Astyanax mexicanus: one gene and its partner. The protein of the gene in region 2 interacts with the protein of the main gene of each other region in a pairwise test. Links are inferred from orthologs where the notes say so. Each region holds a gene or a part of one and is shown on either strand. Other genes may lie near its edges.

Region 1 (7,547 bases), on a different chromosome or scaffold from region 2:
ATTCTCCGTCTGCTTATGCACCGGGATGATGGAGTTCTCCAGAGCCATGAGGCGGCTCTCAAACGAGGACAGGATGGACACCTGAGTGACAGAAATAAAACTATAGTCGAAAAAAAGTTTGCTAGTAGTTCTAGCTTACTTTCCCGTTCCACCTTAAATAGTGAAACAGATGGCAGGAGCTGCAGCATTTAGGGCGGAAAGGAAAAATAAAATAAAATAAAAGCTAATTTCATCTCCCCATTACAGAAGAATCAAGATATTAGCAATAATAATTAATTTCTTGACCCTTTCTAAATACATACAATGCCCTAAAGTTAACTAGTTAACCAGCAGCTAGGTTACGGAACTTTAGCGCTCCACTGCTATCACATCAGCCTGCAGGCTCACCTAATATCCTGGTAATTAAGCAGTGTTATTAATTAATTTATTGTTATTTATTTATTGTTCATTGACAAACATCATTGTGATATACCAGTGGTTCCCAACTCAATCACTCAGGAACCACATTCTTCCACATTTAGTGGTTTAATGGTTATAACAGTAACACATTAGCAGCTTCAGGACTAGTGTTGGGGACCAGTTTGATATGCAAATTTTGGTATATTATGGAGGCTATCTTCACCTTTATAGGCTATTGTTCACCTTTATATTCACCTTTCCTGTCTTGCCCAACAAATTTAGAATACTGTTTTTTTGTATTATTCAGTTTGTCACCCTAATAACTATAAGAAATTGGTTTATTTCAGAGCAGAATATTTATATAAAAGTCACTTGTGCTGTCCTTCTGATGACATATAGGGTGCTTGTAGGGTTGTCCCAATTCTTAGGGGGAGGATTTCACTCGAAAAGAAGGGGTAGGAGTAAATGGTAGGGCCAAGGGGTGAAATGGGATTGGATGGGTTTAGAATGGGACAACATAAAAGCAGAAAGAATGTTGAGGTGTCCAAATACGTTATTAAGCACAAAATGCAAAAGATAATGTAGCTACAAGACATAAATACACACACACTGTTTCTGAATCTCTTACCATGCCTTTAGTGAGCTGGTCACTCTTTTCCAGATTCTCCCGAATGAAGGACAGAGTTTCCTGCTCCTGCAGTTCAGCACACACACACACACACACACACACACACAAATCAACAAACCATTCTAAATTTATCTTCAATAAACACCAGATACACTGGATTTAGCATAAACTGCAGGAGCAAAATGACCACATGTACAATTCTACTGGACACCACGATACAGAGATTATAGTTAAATTTTGAGAAAATAACCCATCATATATTTATAAAGCTTTAACAACAGAAAACTTTACCTTTTTACAATCAGAACAGGACTGAATACTGAGCAGTAACTTTTTTTCTTATTGTTTTAAAGACGGCACATATGTATAAATATTTAAAAGGCTAAAATCCAGATGAAACAGAAATGATAACAACCATAATCAAGCCCATAACCTTTTGGTCTAAAAATCACGTCAGAACTATTCAGAGATTCCCATTATTTCCATTTGACCTCCTTTAAGCCCTGTCTAAAAATGTATTTTAACATTAAACTTCTATTCCTCTATGTACATTACTATTGTAAGTCACTTTGGACAAAAGTGTCTGCTAAATGTAATGTAATGTAAAGTAATGTAATGTAGTTATATGGAAGACTAAACATCTGAATTGTTGAAATAGCCAAAAGTACACTTTTAATGGCCTTTTCTGTGCACACGCCACAAACAGAGTCGCTTGAGGTATGCTAAGGCACATTTGGACACATTTTAGTATAAGGTGCTGTGGACTGATGAAACTAAAATTGAGTTATTTGGAGGGCGGTCGGTATGCATGGAGGAAAAAGCATAAAATGTGGTGGTGGTTCCATCATGCTGTGGGGCTGTGTGTTCAGTGCAGGTACTGGGAATATTTTTAAAGCTGAGGGTATCATAGATTCAATATCAGTAGATTCTTGAGAATAATGTTGAAAGTCTGTGGCATGATTTAAAGTGGGCTGCTGTTCATGCTCAAACACTATCAAATCTGACTTAACTGAAGATGTTTTGTAAAGAAGAATGATCCAAAATACCTTCAACCAGAAGCCAGACTATTATTGGAAGCTATAGGAGAGTTTAGAGGCTGTTATTTCTGCAAAAGGATGATCTAATAAATAATGATGTAATTTTATGTGCCCACATTTTTGCACCTGTCTAATTTTGTTAAAAAATGATTGCACACTTTCTGTAAATCCTATAAACTTCATTTCACTTCTCAAATATCACTGTGTTCATCTGCTATATGATATACTTAACTGAAATTGCTGATCCAAACAACCAGTTATATTTAGATTTATAAAGGAAACAAAAGGATAAAACACACATTCACACACTGTGCTGTGATACTCTCAGATGTGAATTGGGGATATCAGGAGTTAAAGTGAAAGACAGAGTGCTGTGAGGAATTTAACATATATTTTAAGGGTCTGTAATACACACACTGTCATCATGGGCTCTTTGGGTTAAAGCATAGTGAGTGAATGGCCTGTATTTAGATTAGCTAAAGCTAGATTTATCACAGCAGCTCTGCACTGTAGAGAAGACCACCACACTAAGACCCTACAGCCCCTCAGAATAAACCGTTAACTGTTAACATACATGTGTGTATTAATGCTGTAGAGTGTGTTTACAGCGTGTCAGTGTTAACAGTGTGTAAATAAAGGATGTAACGTTAATTAAGGCTATTGAACCGCAGCCCGACCTGCTTCAGCTTCTCCTCGATCTCCCGCTTCCGCGCGGACGCGTCCTCCGTCGGGATCATCTCCACCCACTCTCACACAGTATAGTTTAATATTAATAATCCGAAATTACTCAGGTTAAACTGATCACATACAGCTTTATATCACCATTCCGCCCTGAGTAACAACACTCAACACCGAGCTCCGCACAAACTAACGACCGGGGAGTCACTATCCACTATATTACAAAATAAAAGCCTTAGATAAAAAAAATAACGTTTTACAACGACAAAATTAACATTAATATTACAAAAAGATCCCACGTTTTAATTTAACCCCAACTGGACACAAAACAGTATGAGTAAGAATCAGAATCTGTAGTTTAAAAGGGTAGAAGAACGGAAACGGAACGGAAATCAGCTGACTATTATCACACCAGTTCAATATACTGACAAACGCTTCGACACTTCAACATAAAAGTCCTCCCTCATCGCCAGTTATTCTATTCAGTTGCGCTGCCTTGTCAACCCGTTCTACACTAGTGTAGTGCATATTAAACCTAACTTTACAAAAACAAAAAAGCACCGTATTACAGCATGTTCCCAGTAGAAGGCCCAGTAGATGTACGTTAGTATATTTGAATAGCATAAATCACTATATTGTGGCGGCTCTGGGTTGTGTGTGTGGCTGCCTGCAGGCATGTTTCTGTTCTCCTGTGTGCGAGGATGACAGGGGTGGGGCATCTCCCTTGGGAGGGGTTATGCAGAGAGGGTGGGCACCACTCTGGATCTGCCATCTGGGAGACACACAGCTGGGTTGGTGGCCTTTGGGCTATTTAGCTCTGTGGTTTTATGGTTTAGCTCTCCTAGTCTTGTTAAAGACTGTGAGTGAGTGATAAGCCAGTTCAATAAAAGGAGCTGTTGAACATTCAGCATGAGTCTCACGGGTCTTCTTTCCCCTTCCACGCCACAATATTATGGCCAATTAATGTCAATAAGAGATCATTATAAAATGCTTTGTGTTGTTTTATAAAATATTTTGTGTATTTTTTTTATTATTATTAATTTCCATTTACACTTTTGTGCAATGACAGTGAGTCCAGGTTGTTTAATCCACACACAAAAACACATTTAATAAATAAATAAAATAAATTCATAAAAAAAAAGGAATATAGAAAAATCGTAGGTTATCGCATGCGCAGTGTCTTCAGAAAGCACGCATCGATGGGTAGCACAACTCGACAGAACACCTGCTTTGACGTTGCTCTGCATAAGCTATGATGTAACAAATATGAACTTTCAGATTTCCACAAACAAATATTATTGGCTTGGTCTCTAATGTTTCTCTACATAAATACTACAATACTTCAGGAATAATAAAATTCGTTTTTATTCTAGGAAAACTGGTATTTCTTAAAAAAAAAAAAACTGTAACAGTGCTAAAGCAATCGTAAGTGAGATTTATACATAATAAAAATTTTAATTATTAACTTATTCTAGACAGAAAGGTGTTTATTAATAATTAAGCTCTTCGTAAAGTTCAGTGCTTTTACCTTATTTTAATTTAAATAGTATATTCCAAAAGTAATCACTTTTAAACTTTTAAAATATAAATATAAATTACTTATACATTAGAATGATTCTCCCAAACAATAAAGAATAAACTGAACTGAAAGAATGCACTGAAATGTAGACAAATCTATTTAATCCAGTTCACTTCAAGAAACATTTCATCACATCTCATCACATTCCACAAATACAGAACTCATACTAACTCATACTGACTGATCTAACAACCTCTCTTATAGATATGATAAACATTCTAACATCTCTACAGAAATGCTCTGAAAAATGTTCTATTCATAGTTCCAGAGTGTCAAAAGGTATTTTACATTAATTCATTTACACAGGTATGTACATGTTTTACACATCAAAGCAAAACATCAGAGGAAAGTATAAAGACATTCGTAGTTAGAGGTGGGCTATATGGCAATAATTTATCATATTATTATTCATTTTGTTATTGTGGTTCACAGCATACTTTATACTGAGCATATTATGGATATCATCAGTGCTTTAAGAAGACTTATAATAATTAATAATGATTAATAATAAATATATCTGTACTCATTATGTGAGAGTAGCAGTTTCAGTCAAAATATCTTCACAAATATTAGTGAAAATCACTCAATATTGTGAATGAACACTTTTGCCATATGGCACACCTCTATTTTTAGTCCCAGTAAATAATAATAAAAAAAAACAGGTTTAAAAGTAACATACACTATCTTGCAAAAACTATTCAACCCCCTTAAAAATCACTAAATTAGTCATATTTGTATATTTGTGTTACATTTTACAAAAAAAAAAAAAAAAAAAAAAAAAATCATGCTGTGTACACATGTTGGTCTGTCAGAAAAACGATTTAGTTTTAGAATATATACTGTCAGAAAAATAACTGCGACAAACAAAATTATTGTCACTGATATGATTATGAATGATGCACTCAAATTTAAAAATAAAAACGTATAATCTCAGAATAATGAACTAACACAAAATGAAATAATAAACAATGATTCAGTATCTGCAAATTGTGTAGTTAGTAAAATAAAATTACTTTTGCTGCTTTTATAGATTTTTCTTATGTAGTTATTATTTTTTCTTATGTAGTTATTTGATTATTCTATACATTTTGTTGACAATTAATTTTTCCATATATTTTCTCATTTTTTTTATACAGAGTGAAAGGCCTGTAGATGACAACAGGGTACTCTGTAAAATACTACATTTAATTTCTAAATTAATAAAGTTAAAACATTTTGTTTTAATTGTTTTAATTTGTTTTAAAATGAAAAAAAAATCTGCATGTAACACTGCCAGGATAAAATTTCAGTTTTAAGTAATATATTTTCCAGGAAAAAAAATTGTGCTAAACACTTTTTAAACGGGTTGAACAGATTTGCAAGTCCCTCTATTCTGTGATATATATTTTCTTACTTAACTAAGTAACAGTGAACATTAAAGAATAGGAGACAGGACATCCCCAAACTTCTGAAGGGTTCTGTTAAGTAACATTACCATTTTATAGGTCCAATATATGTTAATATCCCACAGCATATAAATTAAATGTTAATAAGTTAAAGAAAACTCAAACCATAACGTTAACCAAAACTAGAACAGGTGTGTTTGAAATACTGCAGCATCTGCAGAGCGGAGTCAGCTACACACTAATGTTCGCTTCAGGAAGTCCTTTAACTCCTCCTCCTTTTAAACAGCTGGAGTGACAGTGCAGACTCCTCCTCCTCCCTCTCACGACTCCTCCTGTTTACTCAGAGCCTTCAGTAATAAACATAAACAGCAGAAATATAAATTAGTGCATATTAACAAGCAAGAAAATGAATGACACTGGAATATGATCACTATCAGTAGACTCTGTATTAATAACCTCAGTTGCTTTTCCAAAAGACATTCCCTTGATTATGATTTGTCCCAAAAATCTCTTCATTAGCTTTTTGTATTTTCTGACCACATGGTTCATATTAATAAAAATATGCCAAAAATAAAAATTTGGCCAAATCCCAAATCAATCATTTTGTTAAACGTATTTTGTCTTGCTTTAAATAAAACAATTACAAAACTACAATTTAAAATATTTATTCAATTAATAATTGAAAAGTCATTCTTGTCATTAAGATTTATTAGGCGTGGAATTCCATTTGGTTATTTAACAGGCTCTTTGACCTATCAAACATGAAGGTAATAATAATGTCATAGTTGACCAGTGTAATGTATGTATTTATGGAGCTGATTTTAATGTTGTTGCTGATTTGTGTTTGATCAAGGTAACAATAAAGTATTATGCATATCGTCGCTGTCCAATCAAAAACACTTATGTCCAAAACAGCAACTTTACAGGAGAGAAAAAAACTTGTAAACTTTAAATGGAAGTCAAGGTAAAAAGAGTTTGTTTCAGGTCATTTTAAAGAGTTTCTGTTGGTCCGTTCATCAAGAAATTTTGGCACAGTGTAAGGGACAGCTTGTCTGTTCAAATAATGTAGTAAACTAAAAATCGACAAAAATGGAGATAAGTGTTTTTCACAGGACAGCAGCGATATATCATATGCATGTATATACTGTTTTTTCTGCACTATAATGTGCACTTAAAATCCTTTAATTTCCCAAAAATCAACTATGCACCTTAAAATCTGGTGCACCTTATGTATTAATTTTACCAATCAGGATGTAAGAAGCAGTAAAAGCCACTCCACTGAAGTGCAGTGTTACACAGAGGCTGGAGCAGTATTAGCATTATCCACTAACCGCAGCGCTAGCTCTTTCACCATTTTAAATATGAGAATATCGACCTGTAGTCTGCGTGTTTACTGCATTAAAACTGCTGTATAATAGCACCCTGGCTTACCAGAACACCCAAGGTTCCTCAGTGTGGCGCTATCGGGCGGCATTTACTAGGGCTTTGTGCTGCTACCTGCGTCTAGTGCTGCTGCTAACCGCAGTAAAATATTGGAAATATAAGTTTACTGTAAATAAACGACAGCACTTTACCCACCCACCCACCCATATCTTGTTTTCCAAGATATCCCCTTGAGTAATTAATAATAAACACAGGCTTGTTTGCTCTTGTTTGCTCCTAATAACCTTCTTGCATGTTTTTGGACTTGCTAATCCCCTACTTATCTGTTCTAAAACCTCCTCCTCACCGTGATTGGTCCTAATAACCCCCTCATTCGTTTCTGAGACCCACCTGTTTGAGGAACTGTGTTCCAAAGTAGTTGGTGGCCATGTTCTTCAGATTCGTTCTGGTGCCGACTT
Region 2 (7,994 bases):
GTGAAACAGTTGTTGAAATTATTTAGCTGTCTGCAAGTTATCATTAAACTGTCATCTTAATGGCACATACGTACCTTCATTTTTTCTTTTTCTGCTTCCTTGGCCAGTTCATCCACCATCTCAATGAGTCCACCCACTATTTTCTGAAACTGGCCAATTTCTGTTTTCCAAGAAATGAAATGAAATCAGTTTAATTAAAGCTGTTATCTGACAAGTGGTGGAGAGTAAGAAAGTGCACATGCAGTTACCCAGTGCAAACACCAAACCTTTCAACATCAGGGCAACAATGTTAAATGTTTGTCTACTTAATTGATTTAATATATGAAAAATATAGATGCATTTTTAAAGACTGTAAGTTTTTATTAAATTTGTAAAAAGTTTGCAAAAAGTCTTTAAAGCCACTTGGTTCTGTCTCATGGTAATTCATTTCCATCAGTGTTCTGTGTTCAGACTTTAAAGTATTTAACAGGTTATTTTACATGGGATGGACAGTAATTCAAATTGAGTATATATCAGAATGTTTCAATAATGGTGATATGATGTTTAAACACTTGTTGATTTCAACAATCATAATTGTTTTTGGGTACCGTTGTGGACATTCTTGGCAGTTTTTCTACTGAACTGATCTAAATTAATTAATACATTGTGATAAATTTGATTGTGTACATTTTGGCCCTTATTAACATGATAATAAAAGTGTTAAAAGTCTGGAAATAAATTATAATACAGCCATACTTACTGTCAACAAATTCTTTGCACTCCTCTTTAAGCTCTGTGGTCTTCTGACCAACATCAGGTTCAAGTATTCGTAGCTTATTAAGTTCATCGAAGTGAAGCCCAGCTTCTGCCAGTGGATCTTTAGCCATGACCTGAGGCCAGCCAATCACTGATTAGGTCCAACTGTTGAGAAGCAACAGAAGATTACAGTCTTTTTAAACTGTGAGTCAGTTGTGAGAATAAATGTAAACTTTTCTTTTCTTTAAGGTTTAAACTGATGATTAAAACAGGACTTAATGAGACATATGGTACAGATCAACTACAGTAGAGAAAAGTAAAAAAGTTAAAAAATAAATAACACTTAGAGACATTTGATCTGATTAGTAACTAATGTTATGGGCAGGTTTAAATCTCTATAACATAAAGTATTATACGAAAAGCCTTTATTAATCCCACAGCAGGTTAATTCACAATGTTACAGCAATGCAAGGGACAGACAGAATTGTCAGGAAAGAGAACAAAAGAGAACATAACAATAATAAAAATTATAGACCTAAAAACAGATTAGATAAAGCATGGTTACCCATCTCTTATGATAGGCAGTGACCAATATTTTTGTAGATAAGCTGACAGTAAATAAATATACAATTCAAGTTCTGACTACCAATAATATAATGAATATAATAAAATATATTTTTATTAGTAATCATTTTTCTGTTACTAATAACTGTGACAATTATAGGCATGTATACACTGAAATACTAGTACTTCAGTGTACTAGTAACATTTTAATTATAGATAAGAGATAGTAAAGGTCATTGTAAATGAATATTGTAAATCAATAGTAACACATGACAGGTCAGAAAAGCTTTATAGATCTATTGATCTGTAGATCTGATATTATTACTAGTAAACATTTCATAGGTGACATCTGAAATAAGTAGATTCTGTATGAGTTAGTAAAATCTGGTGTCATCTTATACTAGGGGTGGGCAATATGAGCCTAAAATTATATCAGGATATTTCAGGATAACATTATTTTTGGGGATATGACAAAACAATAAATAAAATAATAAATTTAAGAATACACTACTGCAAGAAAATTAATATTAAAATGTATTTGCCAATATAATTGTATACCATATGATATGGTGCACCCCTAATTGGCATTTTTACCAGACTGTAATAGAAGTCAATGATGCAACATGTCATAATACTAATAATGCACTCCAAATATCTTCATATATCTAGTAAAATAAATAATATTGGACAGATATAATCTGTCTCTAATAGACTTTATTGGGAAATAAGACCTATGGGAATTTTCCTTTTACTGAAAAAATCACAAAATTGTACCATAATGCCCATATGGCCCTAAAATTAAATAATACAGCTCTGGAAAAAAATAATTGACCACTTAAAAATTATTTTCTTTGATTGATTTTAAAAAAATTAAAACTTCTGGAATATAATCAAGAGGAAGATGGATGAACACAAACCATCAAACCAAACTGAACTGCTTGAATGTTTGCACCAGGAGTGACAAAGTTATCCAAAAGCAGTGTGTAAGAATGGTGGAGGTTTTCTTTAAATTATTTGAGGTCTAAAAGCTCTGCATCTTTTTTGTTAATTCAGTCATTTCTCATTTTCTGCAAATAAATTTTCTAAATGCCAATATTGTTATCTGGAATTTTGGAGAAATGTTGTCTGTAGTTTATAGAATAAAACAACAATGTTCATTTTACTCAAACATTTACCGATAAATAGCAACATCAAAGAAACTAATTCAGAAATTAAAGTAGTCTCTTATTTTTTTCCAGAGCTGTATATCAGGGTATTATCTACCACCTATCTTAGACTATTTGTAGGTTATCTGAGCAGCTGGGTGACATATGGCTGCTGATCAACTGGTGTTGGTATAGTGAGGATTCCTGATCACATTAAAACAGAGTATCTAAACGGAACTGACTAAACTGACAGCCTGTAAAGCTGCAGTTTCTTAGCTCTGCTCTCTGATCCGCCGAGTTTAACATCAGTTTACAGAGCTTCTCTCACAACACAACAACTCAGCTAATCACAACAATCAGCTAGCGGGGTTAGCAACGCAGCTATCGAGTAAACCCACCACAAAAAACACACTGTATTTAACATTATAAACCGCTTTATTTACTATAGAAAGTGAAGGAATCTCCACACATACCCGCTAAGCTGAATTAATGGAGATATGCTGATCTCGCCGGTCTCTTCGCCGTTTTCTCCGCTCGCCGCTTCTCTCGGTTATGTGGCAGAAAGACTCTCCAGATCAGAGATTCTCTACTGAGGAGAATTCCCACTACAGAACGTGTTCCGGGTTCATCACAGCACCAGAGGGCGCTCAAAATCATAGTTTATGTTTAATATGTCTAATAAAAATCATACTAAAAATATGTTAATTTCCTCAATACAGAACCATATTTAAATAATGTTTAACGCCCTTTATTGCCAGTTACAAACCTTTTAAATGTGTTATGGACGTCTTTGTTACCGCATAAGCTTGCTAAACAGTCATCTCACTGTAACTAGAACAGTGCAATGTTTACCCGTAATTTTCAGACCATTTAAGGCTAAATACAATTTCCCCCCACATGCTATAGTAAAGGCCATTTTCGTTTTACATTTCGGCCTTCCATAATCTAAAATTTCACAACAAAAAAAAGAAATGGACCTTTACAAAATTTTAAATCCAAAAAAAGGTAAAAAAAAAAAAAAAAAAAAAAAAGGTAAAATCCAACCTTATAATACTAGATGAAAAATTAAAGAATTGAGTAAAGGTTTATTTTTTCATTTTCCCTAAATTTAAGATTTCTTTTTATTAAACCCATTTCTTTTTATTAAACCAGATGGAAAAAAATGAAATAATGAAAAGTAACGCCCAATTCTTTATTTTTTTTTATTATTTAGCCTTAAACAATCATAAAGTGATCAGCATTACATTGATGCATGCAATTTGTTGTCCAAAAATATTTGTTGTAATAACGTAGAAAATACGGGTACGTTTATTTGCTTGATTAACAAATTTATTCAATTAGTCAATTTACTTTTTACGTTAATGTAATATCCGGGACACGTAGTTAATTAATCATTTTAATTTGAGTTTTTAGCTGTTTAGCTCCATTCACCCCCATTCATTTTGGACTCCCTCGCGGGCTCCCTCTAACGATTTGCACTTATTTTCTGATATAATTAGAAGTGGGCAGGCTCTCCGTAAACCGGCTCTGCTCCAGATGATGAGATTCCGTCCCCGCCCCGAAGAGTCTCTGCCGCTGCCACGGCGACCGGCGGATCAGTGCACTGCCCCGTTAAACCGGGGGCCAAAACAAAACAATAGATTTACGCGTTTAAAAAATGTGTTCCTATAATGTATATAACACTTTATTTTGTACTATAACTCTATTAAATGTCTGTAACACCAATATCCCATAATATATGTTCCCTATTTTACATTGCCCACAGCATTCACACAGTGCTGTGTTCCTGGACATTCAAAAACGTCCCAAAAAAGTATTTATAGACTTAATAGTATTTATACAGATTTATTCAAGGCCTTTATACGTATTCTTTGGGAATCATATCAAATCCATTAAAAGTTTTAGTAGGACTTTTATTATGAAAAGCCTCCCGGTATCTCCAACACTGCAGGGGGCAGTGGAGCTGCTGAGAAAAAACGGAGAAGAAGAACACGAGCAAAACATTCAGCGCCACAAATCAGCCCTCTTACTGAAACTACATGTAGTTTAATACACACTGAGGTAAGATCTAAAACTGGTTATTATTTCGGCACACACACACAGTTGATGCAGATATTTGGTGGAATAACGCTGTTTTTTAATCACAGTTTTCATGCATCCTGAGTTAATCACAATTTCCTTTGGGTTTTTGGCCATTTTTGACAGGCTGCTCAAACTGTTTTAAAAGTTTCCTGAGATCACTTTAGTGTTGCTGTTTAATGTTTAACAAATGTCTAGCTAACATTAGAAGTTAAATAACAATTAACAAAAATGTTTAGCTTGCTACTGCTTTGCTTTTAGTTTTTTTTTTTTATATGAGTAGAAGTAGGTAGCTAACAAGCTAATATTAATGCTTTATGTGTTCGACAGCCCAGTGGGGTGGAGCAGTATGTCTGTGTTAAAAACTGCAATATTATTTTTTTGTATTAATTATCTATTAATAAATAATCTATTTATATCAATAGGGCATTTGTTAATATTGTACAGCTCTAACCTCAACCCCTACATTTAGTGCCAGGAAAACAATTCAGTCTTTAAGCATATTTATATAAATTTCAACAGCCATGTTTTATGGTCCTATTTGATTTACCAAAAATATGCTATTATATGGTAAAATATACTATGGACATAAATATGGACCCTGGACTACAGAGTCTCAGTTTTAACTATCTTCTATAATGTCATTGCAGGTGTTTTCTGTGATCAGAAGAATGCCTTTGTCAACTCAGTCTCAACCAGAGAATGATGAGTACATCCTGATAGCTAGTTTGGATAATGTGAGAAACCTTTCTAACATCTTAAAAGCAATATCCTTCAAAGACCATGCAATATTCAATGCGACGCAGAATGGGTTAAAAGTAACCGTAGAAGACTCCAAATGTCTTCAAGCAAATGCGTTCATTCAGGTCAGTGTTCAGAATGAGACATTAAGAATTCTCAAAAACACTCAGTTTTAAATGCATTTTGACTGTAATTGATTGTGTGGTTTTCTCATCCTGCAGGCAGACATTTTTCAAGAGTTCACACTTAAAGAGGATGTGGTTGGGTTTCAGGTTAACCTAACTGTGCTTCTGGATTGTCTCACCATCTTTGGAGGAAGCACAGTGCCAGGCACGTTTCTATGATAAATAATGATTAGATATAATAATGCACTGTTAGTGTAGTTGCATCACTGATTGAGCTAAAACAACATTAAAAACATATTGTAATTAAACTGTTTATGATTTTATCTTGATGGATCATACATTCTCTCTCTTTAAAAAAATGAAGGAGTGATGACTGCCCTGAAAATGTGCTACAATGGTTATGGCTATCCATTGACCCTGTTCCTGGAGGAAGGAGGAGTGGTTACTGTTTGCAAGATTAACACCCAAGAACCAGAGGAACCCTTAGACTTTGACTTCTGTAGCACCAATGTGACCAACAAGGTCATACTTCAGTCAGACAGCCTGAAAGAGGCTTTCTCAGAACTGGACATGACCAGTGAGATCCTGCAGCTAACAATGTCACCCAGTCACCCCTATTTCAGGTACAGAAACACTATGCCTTGTCTTATTGGCAATGATATTGACCAAGAGTGGGGGACATTTTTGTGTCTTACATACATTCAGCTCGATTCGGACGTGGGCGATTCTGTATCGATTCATAAATGCTAAAAATCGATTTAGACTTGCCAACATGTACGAATTTTGCATGCATGTTCTAAAATACGCATAACATTTGATCTCGCATTTCCCTGATGTTCTCCTTCCCTGTGTGAGTCTGTTTTCTGCCGCTCACGCTGTCAAGCTGGGTTTTTTTTACTACGATCATTAATCCAGCAAGCTACCTATCAAGCCATCCGCTACTTTCCTCCAAACTGTCGATACACCGTCACTATGCTGAAGGCACTTTTTTGTACTAATCATCTGGTTAATTAAAAAAAACTATGCTTTTTTAAGGATATATTATGGATCATTACAGATGCTCTACTTCATTAATATTCATACAATGAGAACAAATAAATCCTGTATAAAAGAAATAGATGCATCAAGACGAATCGAGAAACGTTTTATAATCTAATCGCAGACCTCTGAATTGTATTCAAATCGTAAGGTGCCTAGAGATTCCCACCCCTATTATTGACCTATTATTGATTTTGTTGACAATCTCATTAGGTTAGATTTGTGCATCTGGATAAAAACTAGCCTGTTATCTAATAAACATGTTTACATCATGGAATATTTTGGGCCCTTTAAAAGTAAGTATGGGCACATAAAAAAAAGATAAAATAATAAAAATTATGTTTTTTTCATGTTGCATTATGTTTTTTTATGTTGTATGTATAATAATTAGCCCTGTTTAACTAGTTGTTTTCCAAAGCTTTATCACATTTAAAACACTGCCTAAAACTCAATACCATATTATATTACTAATATCAAACAATATAAATAATTAATTTGATTGTTTTCCCCCCAGATTGTCCACATTTGGAAATTCTGGAAATGCCCATTACGACTATCCCAAAGACTCTGAAATGATGGAGCTGTTCCAGTGTACAAAGACACAAACCAACAGGTAAGAAGACCAAACTTTGTAATGACTAGAAGGTTAATTTCCAAATTAAAATGATCAAATCAGATTTGTTCACAGACATTACAGACAATGTGAATATAGACAAAATTCATGTGACACAATTTTAGTTCCTGTCCTATGACTTTTGGCATTGACGCCGGATAATATCAGTTTGTGTTTTGCTGTTGCTCACTCAGGTACAAGATGTCTCTATTAAAACCCTCCACCAAGGCGTTGGCGCTGTCCTGTAAGGTGTCTGTAAGGACAGACAGTCGAGGCTTCCTCTCATTACAGTACCTTGTGCGGAATGATGATGGACAGATTTGTTTTGTTGAGTATTACTGCTGCCCAGACGAAGAGGCTGATGAAGAATAGACCAACATGAGTTATTTTGCTCATCTTAAAACGTGCTGTTAATTGTTTCCCTTTTCATGTTAAACTGTGTCGTTTAATCAGATTAGTGATCTGATTTGTTCATTGTATTTTATTAAATTCAGTTTCTAAAAAAGAGATAAAGTAACAGAGCTTGTATTTGTTATATAATAAGATTTTGAACTTTATAAATCTTTTTATCAGTTTCTTTAAAGTTGTTAACATGAAGATGATCTGATATGACACATACATTACTGTGTGATATACCATTAAAGGAGTTTGAAATCTCCAGTTGTTGCTCTAGAGTTGTTTATTTTTGGTAGTTTTTTGGTAGGTTTGGTAGATTAACCTGCCAGCTAATACAACAGAGACTTGACCCTTAGGGGACCTTAAATATAAAACTAAGACTTGTTAAAACCAAACAGAACAGAAAAGTGGAAGTTGTTTTGAAAGGTTAAAAGGACAACAACAGAACAACAACAACAACAGCAGCAGCAGCTGAGTTGACACATTTTGTTTTTGACAAATGTGACATTTACATTTAAACCCTTAGGAGACCCTTTTGGTATAGAATTAAAATTATGT

The links.
Region 1: the proteins of ift20 (region 2) and exoc7 interact in binary tests that used the Homo sapiens proteins (3 or more experiments, as listed by UniProt). The two-hybrid records come from large-scale screens. The link is inferred for Astyanax mexicanus from reciprocal best matches to the Homo sapiens genes IFT20 and EXOC7.

What each region holds. Positions count from the first base shown.
Region 1 is NC_064422.1:17,965,659-17,973,205, forward strand, and holds the start of exoc7 (exocyst complex component 7), read right to left. Parts: upstream 3,095-7,547; 5' UTR 2,802-3,094; coding exon 2,742-2,801; intron 1,094-2,741; coding exon 1,028-1,093; intron 82-1,027; coding exon 1-81. Other genes in the region: tvp23b (Golgi apparatus membrane protein TVP23 homolog B), read right to left, coding at 6,027-6,053, 7,480-7,547. UniProt on the Homo sapiens protein: Component of the exocyst complex involved in the docking of exocytic vesicles with fusion sites on the plasma membrane.
Region 2 is NC_064425.1:16,836,158-16,844,151, forward strand, and holds the start of ift20 (intraflagellar transport protein 20 homolog), read right to left. Parts: upstream 3,048-7,994; 5' UTR 2,918-3,047; intron 901-2,917; 5' UTR 867-900; coding exon 740-866; intron 161-739; coding exon 75-160; intron 1-74. Other genes in the region: cell cycle checkpoint protein RAD1, read left to right, coding at 5,195-5,389, 5,486-5,594, 5,754-6,012, 6,942-7,040, 7,235-7,412. UniProt on the Homo sapiens protein: Part of intraflagellar transport (IFT) particles involved in ciliary process assembly. May play a role in the trafficking of ciliary membrane proteins from the Golgi complex to the cilium.